Linked DNA regions of Neurospora crassa OR74A. The protein of the gene in region 1 interacts with the protein of each later gene in a biochemical or structural test. Links are inferred from orthologs where the notes say so. Each region holds a gene or a part of one and is shown in the gene's direction. Other genes may lie near its edges.

Region 1 (4,247 bases):
AAGGAGACGTGGCTCGCTGCTCGCAAGCGTGCCGAGGGCGAGAAGGTTCACGACGACGAGCACCTGCTCAAGAAGGCTGTCAAGCGCAAGGAGAAGGCAAAGAGCAAGAGCGCCAATGAGTGGAGAGAGCGCAAGGAGGGCGTCGCCAAGGCCCAGTACGATAGGTCAAAGAAGCGCGAGGAGAACATCAAGAAGAAGCAGGACGAGAAGAAGGCCCGCAAGATGGGCATCAAGGTCAAGAGCGGCAAGGGCGGTAAGGGTGGAGGAAAAGGTGCTTCCAAGGGTAAGAGCAGGCCTGGATTCGAGGGCGGATTCGGTGGTAAGAAGAAATAAGCGTCGGATAAGGTGTTCAGCAAGGGGTGTTTTGTCTTTTTGGAGAGAGATGTTGATACCACTGCTGCTGCATAGCGGCAGATGCTCGGGAGGCTGGCATATCCTTTTCCCATTCTTCTGCCTTGTCGCTACGTACATATTTCTTGCTGGAAGGGGGTAACAGGTGGTGTTTTTGGCGTTTGTTTTTTTTCCTCATGGTTTTTCGTTTCTTTTTTCTTTGCACGGTCGGAATGGAAAAAGAGATTATATCACACGTACATATCACAACTGGACCAGATCACGACAAGCGGTTAACATGGTACGAGGCTGGGCAAGCCTTGTCTTTTGTTCTTTTATACTTAGCTAGCTTTTAGTAGTGGTGGCGAAGGGAGGAGGTAGGGGCTGGAGGTCCCCCTTCTTCTTCAGCGAGGCAGCATCTTCAGGGAGTTAAAAAGTGATTATCAGCTCACCGAGTCTTTTCTCTTTTTTTGTCCGGTGACTTGAATTGGTGATGTGAGACGCATAGCTTCCCTTTCTTGCTTGTCTGATACCGAGGCGCTCTCCGGTGTAGGCGTTAAATTCCAGCTGTGAAATGAGGTGCTGTTAGTGCTGGGTGGTCGGACTCTACTTTATTCGCAATCAAAGCACTAACACGGCGCCTGGAAGCCGACATAATTCTAGGTGATGCTACACGATTTTATCATGATCGGAGCAACCCGTGTTCCGTTCCACAAGGGAAGCTTGGAAGGGGTTAATGACTTCATCCCTCGGTAGCATTGAACAAAGAAACAGCCGTTTCAAAACGTGGCCATTCAGAATATACAGGAAACACATAACCTAGCCATCTCCAACTGCACCCAAGTTTAAGGTTTGATACTTAGAACCCCTTTGCGCCGCAGGTGAACTGGACCCTGAGATTGGCTCTTGACCCGATTAGACTCCATCCGCCGCGCGGACCAGGACGGGATCCCACCTCTGGACTTTCTCTTTCTTTGACCGCTGCACAAAACAGCGTCCGGCACTGCTGCGCGCTGCCTGTGCCAACCAAAAGAGGGACCCGTCGAGCACCGACCCGTTACCTACGTACCTCTACATACCCGAGTCCACCACTCAGCCTCAACCAAACCTAACCATCCCCCCCCCCGTCGGTCCTGCTAGAGGTAGCCAAGAGAACACCAACAGACTAGCGAAACGACAAACACTCGCATCATCAAGAGCCGCGCCGAAGAGCGGCTTCCCACCACCCCCCAGACGACGACGACAACGAAGGACGGACCTCCACGTTCGGGACAATTGATCGACCAGGCTACTACCTCTACTAGTCGGCCTTACCCTTTCCTCTGAAACACAGGCTACACCCAGGCCTACCGAATCCCCAATCCGCAATCCTAATCCCCACGTGTTACCGCGAAACCGAAATTATTTCAATTCCCCCTGTCCGCGAAAACACGGGGAAATAATACCAGTGCACATACGCCCAAACTCGGCCGACCACATTCGCTTCGTGCCGCCCAATCATCACATCAGAAACAGTCCCCGATAAAGAAAAAAAAAACGAAGAAGAAGAAGAAGATGGCATCAACATCAGGCTTGACCCGGCGCAGGGGCGCGGGAGGAGGCAGCAGCGACGTCGGCGGCGGCGGCGGCGGCGGCGGCGCTTCCGACACGAGGGACGTTGGGCCCGACACGAGCTACGAGACGGGCGAGAACGGACACAGGATTGCCTTCGATCCCCGCGACCTGAGCGAGAGCGCAGAGAGGAGCAAGCAACCCAAGCTAACGCTGATGGAGGAGGTCTTATTGCTTGGCATCAAGGATCGCGAGGTTTGTCTCCACGTCTCTCTTTCTCTCAGTCTCGCTCGCTACACTATCCCTTTGTATGTTGTAGGGGCCTACCAAAGGGCTATCTTCTGACTATGGCTGGACTCGATATTGACGTTCGCCACGTGCTGCTCCTTGGACTGTTTTCATGATTCGGAATTCGGAACCTGGGCACGACGAGAGACGACATGGCTAACAAGACAACCCCCATCAGGGCTACCTTTCGTTCTGGAACGACAACATCTCCTATGCTCTTCGTGGATGCATTGTTCTCGAGCTGGCCTTCCGCGGCCGCATCAGTATGCAAAAAGACTCTTCCCGGCGGCGCTTCCCCCTGGCGGACCGAATCATCGAAGTCATTGACGACACTCTAACGGGCGAGGTGTTGCTGGACGAGGCCCTGAAGATGATGAAGACGAGCGAGAAGATGAGCGTCAGCTCCTGGATTGACTTGATGAGCGGTACGTGTTTGCGTCACTGCCCCATCTCCATTCCCCCCATGTCTATCGTGCACACCCAAGCGGAAGCAAACGTGCTGACATGACCTGTTAATACCACAGGCGAAACCTGGAACCTCATGAAAATCGGCTACCAACTGAAACAAGTCCGCGAGCGGCTCGCAAAGGGTCTGGTCGACAAGGGCATCCTGCGCACGGAAAAGCGCAATTTCCTACTGTTCGACATGGCCACACACCCCGTCGTCGAGGGCGCCGCCAAGGAGGACATCCGACGGCGTGTGCGCAACGTGCTGACGCAGCGCACCGTCGTGCTCACCCCGACCCAGTACCTGCCCGAGGACCTCGAGTTCCGGTACGTGCGGACAATCGCCATGGTGTGCGCGGCGCACGCAGCCAACGTGCTCGAGAACGCGCTGAGTACCCTCGGCCACGAGGCGAGGGAAAACGCCTTTTCCATGGCGGACGAGCTGTTGCTGCAGTACAGCCAGTGGCCGTTTGCGGCGAGGCCGTTGCCTGGTGGGAATGGTGGTGTGGGGGCGAACTTGCCGCAAGTTATTAATGAGGTACGTTTGTATGATTTCTTATCCAAGAGGTTCTGTTGGAAGAGGGAGAAAAAAGAACCCCTCCAAAAAAAAAAACCGAGCGGACTGTTCAAGCGAGAATTTTAGTTAACATATGCTCACCAAACAAACAGGAGGTCAACAAAGCAAAGGACAAGGAACTCCAGCTCGAAGTCGTGGCGGCTTGCTTGAGCGTATTCACTCGCCTTGACTCCCTGCTCTAAATGGCGCACGGCGGGAATTGTGAGAAAGCAAACAGCCCAGCCATTGAGGACAAGCGTGGGAGACACCCCGAAAAGCGAGAATGATGATGATGTGTTGTGCTGAGTGAGTGAAAGTCGGGGGAAGGAAGCCTTTTCACGATTACACTACGAACAAGGGGTGGTGGGTGGGCGCTGGGTCTTCGAGCGAGCGAGCGGGCAAGGGGTCAGTCAAGGCCGGCCTTCCTGATCCAACAACACGGAGGACGCAGCGCATTTTACCTGATTCACTCTATCACACCAGCGAAGCAACCGCGCAGAAGGGCCTACTATTTTACTTAATATCTTCACCTCGTCTCCTTGTATGGTAGGGTAGGTATGATGATGAACATTTTTTTTAATTTCCCTCTTTTGGTCTCCCACTTACTACTCTCTTCGAGGTCGAATAGGAGGAGGACGGGTTGGAGATGGTAAGAGGCTTGGGTTTTACTTGGAGGATATGAGAGGATTGGTGTGGATAGGTGGGCAGATACCGATGGACAATGAGGCGAAGCGAAGATGCGAAAATCAAAAAAGAACGGAAAAAAGAAAAATATGACAATGAAGGGATGAGTGCGTCGACCGGGGCGAAAGCGTAGTGTAGTGGTCTCACACATTGATTGATGCTGCACGTTTTCTGTACGTCTACTACACCTCTTACTTTATCATGGAAGTAATGGAATATGAACAGGATTAGGTTAGAGAAAGACGGTGGCGGTAACCCCATGGCAACCAAAATAGCTAAATTTTCAGTGATGGGTACGAAAAAAAAGGCATATGCTTTGTTCAGTCGTTTAGCCACATGTGTACCCTGACTTTAAATCCATGCTGTCATCTAGCTATAATACAGTTTCACT
Region 2 (4,408 bases), on another chromosome or scaffold:
ACGGCCGCCTACCATGGTTACATCCGCCGCAAGAGCACCGTCTATGATGCTCTCCAAGATAAGGACATCCAGGAAGAGGTCAAGAAGGCGCTCGAGAACACATCCCACCTCATTACGCAAAAGCACGGCATCGACGAACAGGCCCAGCACGAGTACGTTGAAAAGATTGTCAGGCGCATCAGCAACCCTCACCTGGAGGATGCCGTCGAGCGCGTGGGCCGTGCTCCCCTACGGAAGCTGTCCCGCAAGGAGCGGTTCATCGGCCCCGCAGCCGAGCTTGCCGAACACGGTAAGGACTGCAGCGCTCTGCTCGATGCTGCTGAGATGGCGTTCCGCTTCCAGAACGTCGAGGGCGACGAGGAGTCGGCCGAACTTGCTAAGATCATGGCGAGCAACAAGCCCGAGGACGTTGTCAAGCAGGTCTGCGGCTTGAACGAGCAGGAGAAGCTGTTCCCCAAGGTGGTCGAGGTTGTACAGCGCGTACAGGCCGACTTGCACGACGACTAGATGGAGCATTTCTGTCAACTTGTGTGTTTTGTATCCATTCTTACTTCATGTCTTATGATAAATGAGCGAAGACTTTACGGATAGGGAATAGGGCAACGGTGTCGTGGACCCTCGGAATCCGGAGAATATGGCGTTCATTTGGTTGCTTTCTGGGATATCAACGCGGAGCATTATACAACTGGGATCAATGGCGTTTAGCCGGGATCATATTGACATCCTGGAGGTTTTGGGTTTCCCTTTTTTCTTCTTCATTATTGTCTCTGCGCAATCACTAGAAGCGCTTTGCAATGATAGATATAGTTCAAGTCAATAAGAAGTACTCACACTCAATTCTTCTCCATGTTCCAGTAACGTTGTCGTATGCAAAGTGCGTCGAACTTGATCACTGCTTCGAGCTTTTTCTTTGAGCCCATATTTGGTGATTGCTGATAATGTTTTTAAGTAACGATGAAAATGGATGGGAGTACCGACTTGACGACTGACCGTCATCGGTCGCGCCTCCTGTTGCGTCGCTGAGACCTTTTGGTTTTGAAATACTCGTATCTTGCAAATTTGCTCGTGTGTGACACTCCTCCAAAATGTGATTGGGAATTGAGTCGTTCACAAAGTGACCGTTGCGTTGGTCCAAGCCTTTTGGTTTTTGACGATCTCCAGTGGTCGACTTTGGACGTGGTTTGGCGATGGTGATGGCTTCAAACACTGAATGCACCGACGGTGAGGGGGGCGCCAAGAGATCCGCAAAGCTGTAGTGTTGGTCGTTGCCTTAGGCAGCAGCTGGCGAGCGCAGGAAGTGACAGTGGCCGGCAGCTGTGCCCACTTGACCGCCTGAGGGAGAGAGTGGCCCGAGCGGCGAGCAGACCACAGCCGCGAAATTGTGGGCGGCGGCCGGTCGAGATACGTGGCGGGCACCTCTACAACCGTCCGCTGTCATTTCCGGCCCGTCGCAATCAAGTGTCAAGGCCTCCGAAGCCTCTATTCCGAATCCTCGTACCGCCAACCACGTCCCCCCCCCTTCGGCGGACCAGATATCCAATACACCAAATACATATAACCACGATTGCACCACTTCCGATAGCTTCACCCCTGACGAACCCGACGGCGGCTTTCTTGCACGGTCAGGGACCATCTCCAGCATCCAGCACGCACCCCACCTGAAGCTTGGAAGCTCGAGAACCGTTACGACCGCCCCGTCCTCTAATTCCAACTTGTAAACACCACACACCACACACCACACACCCACCCCAAACTCGCCCAACATGAGGCTGGATGTCAAGGCAAGTTCGCACAGGCTTCGTGTCTGCACCACCATGGCCGTGTCACCGAGACCCAACAGAACAACCCGATTCTGCAACCTGGCGCACACTTGCACCTCCCTTAGCTTCGGCCTGGGATCTTCCAGTTGCCCCTATTCCGTCTGCTGTACCGGCACCTCGACGGCCAGCTCCATTGCGCCGACACGTCCATCATCACATCGCTGCCTCCAACTGGGCCATCTCTCATTAGAAAACACCTGCTAACATGCCTGTCAACATGCAGCGCCAGTTGTTTGCCCGCTCTGAGGTTCGTTACCTGTCCTCTTGACCCCCTGATTTCTCCGGTACCAAGCAGTCTTTCAACATTCAAGGTTCCCATTGCTCACCCATATCCCGCACATAGCGAGTCAAGGGCATCGACTTCCATCCTACCGAGCCATGGATTCTGAGTACGTCTGATTCGACTCGCGATACGATGGGAGGGGCCCTGAATTCTGACACTACTTTGGTGATTAGCGACCCTCTACAGCGGCCACGTCTATATCTGGTCATACGAGACACAACAAATCGTCAAGACCTTCGAGCTTACCGATGTCCCCGTCCGCGCTGGTCGCTTCATTGCGCGAAAGAACTGGATCATCTGTGGTTCCGATGACTTGTATGTTCGACATGGAACTTGGGCTAGAGCTAGACAGGAAGGCTGACCTGGAATCCCAGCCAAATTCGAGTCTACAACTACAACACGAGCGAAAAGATCACATCCTTCGAGGCGCATCCCGACTACATCAGAGCCATTTGCGTCCATCCTACACAACCCTTCGTCCTTACCGCCAGTGATGACATGACGATCAAGCTTTGGGATTGGGAGAAGGGATGGAAGAACGTGCGGGTATTCGAGGGCAACTCACGTATGGCGCCACCAGCCTGATACATCGAAGCAGAGCGCGCGTGCTAACAGAGCTTCAGACTACGTCATGTCCCTCGCCATCAACCCCAAAGATACCAACACCTTTGCTTCGGCATGTTTGGACAGGACAGTCAAGATCTGGAGCTTGGGTTCATCCACACCAAACTTCCAGCTTGAGGCGCACGAGACCAAGGGCGTCAACCACGTCGATTACTATCCCCACAGCGACAAACCCTATCTTCTCACAACTTCTGATGACGTGAGTTATATTGACATCTGCTGGCGCATAGGACTTCACAGCTGACTTTACTGGCACAGCGCACGGTGAAAGTGTGGGACTATACCACCAAGAGTTTGATCGCCACTCTTGAAGGCCACACCAACAACGTATCCTTTGCCTGCTACCACCCAGAGCTCCCTATTATTATCTCTGGTTCGGAAGACGTACGTCGATATTGCACCTGTCCACTCGCTCGCAGGCTATTACTAACCGTAACCGCAGGGCACGATAAGGATATGGAACGCCAACACCTACAGGTTCGAGCAATCGCTAAACTACGGCCTGGAGCGAGCATGGTGTGTGTCATATCAGAAGGGCAAGCAGGGTATTGCTGTTGGTTTCGATGATGGTTCGGTGGTCATCAAGCTTGGTCGGGAAGAGCCCGCTGTGTCGATGGATGGCTCCGGCAAGATCGTGTGGGCCAGGCACAATGAGGTTGTATCTGCCGTGATCAAGGGTGCTGGTGAGTTACAAAACGGAACATCGAGAGTGACTCCGAGCTAACAGGGATCAGATGCCGATATCAAGGACAACGAACCTATCACACTCACCACCAAGGAGCTTGGAACCGCCGAGGTGTACCCCCAAAGTCTCATCCACTCTCCCAATGGTCGGTTCGCTGCTATTTGCGGCGACGGCGAATACATCGTTTACACTGCGCTCGCCTGGAGAAACAAGGCATTCGGTCAAGCCCTCGACTTTGTGTGGGCTTCCAAGGAGTATTCCAGCACAAACGAGTTCGCCATTCGTGAGTCTCCCACCAGCGTCAAGATCTTCAAGAACTTCGAGAACAAGGTCGGCGGTCTCGACGTCCCATTTGCTGCCGACGGTCTTACCGGCGGTGTCCTCCTCGGTGTCAAGGGCCAAGGTGGCATTTCCTTCTACGACTGGCGGACGGGTGGACTTGTCAGACGCATTGAGGTGGAGCCAAAGCAGGTGTACTGGAGCGAGAGCGGCGAGCTGGTTGCTCTTGCCTGCGAAGATAGCACCTACGTCCTCAGGTTCTCGAGAGAGAACTATAACGAAGCGGTCCAGGCTGGTCTTGTCGAGGATGATGGTGTTGAGGCTGCGTTTGATGTCGTTACCGACATCAGCGAGAGTATCCGTTCGGCGGAGTGGTTGGGAGATGTCCTGATCTACACCAACAGCACCAACCGTCTAAACTACTTGGTTGGCGACCAGACTTACACCATCGCCCACTTCGACAAGCCCATGTACATCTTGGGTTACCTCCAGCGTGATGGCCGCGTCTACATCACCGATAAGGACCTTAATGTTACCTCTTTCGCGCTCTCGCTTCCCGTTTTGGAGTACCAGACTCTTGTCCTTCGCGAGGATATGGAGACGGCTGCCGAGCTACTCCCAAGCATTCCTGAGGATCAGCTCAATAAGATTGCGCGCTTCCTTGAGGGACAGGGCCACAAGGAGCTCGCGCTTGAGGTGGCAACTGACCCCGAGCAC

What was found.
Region 2: the proteins of NCU06091 (region 1) and NCU07319 form a complex in vitro, tested with the Saccharomyces cerevisiae proteins (2 studies listed by BioGRID). The link is inferred for Neurospora crassa OR74A from reciprocal best matches to the Saccharomyces cerevisiae genes VPS74 and SEC27.

What each region holds. Positions count from the first base shown.
Region 1 is NC_026507.1:1,844,767-1,849,013, reverse strand, and holds NCU06091 (vacuolar protein sorting-associated protein 74), read left to right. Parts: upstream 1-1,136; 5' UTR 1,137-1,884; coding exon 1,885-2,136; intron 2,137-2,347; coding exon 2,348-2,594; intron 2,595-2,693; coding exon 2,694-3,154; intron 3,155-3,285; coding exon 3,286-3,375; 3' UTR 3,376-4,183; downstream 4,184-4,247. Other genes in the region: NCU06090 (hypothetical protein), read left to right, coding at 1-333.
Region 2 is NC_026504.1:4,379,168-4,383,575, reverse strand, and holds the start of NCU07319 (coatomer beta' subunit), read left to right. Parts: upstream 1-1,426; 5' UTR 1,427-1,763; coding exon 1,764-1,781; intron 1,782-2,043; coding exon 2,044-2,067; intron 2,068-2,163; coding exon 2,164-2,209; intron 2,210-2,276; coding exon 2,277-2,418; intron 2,419-2,477; coding exon 2,478-2,668; intron 2,669-2,726; coding exon 2,727-2,926; intron 2,927-2,985; coding exon 2,986-3,111; intron 3,112-3,169; coding exon 3,170-3,410; intron 3,411-3,461; coding exon 3,462-4,408. Other genes in the region: NCU07318 (mannitol-1-phosphate 5-dehydrogenase), read left to right, coding at 1-507. UniProt on the Saccharomyces cerevisiae protein: The coatomer is a cytosolic protein complex that binds to dilysine motifs and reversibly associates with Golgi non-clathrin-coated vesicles, which further mediate biosynthetic protein transport from the ER, via the Golgi up to the trans Golgi network.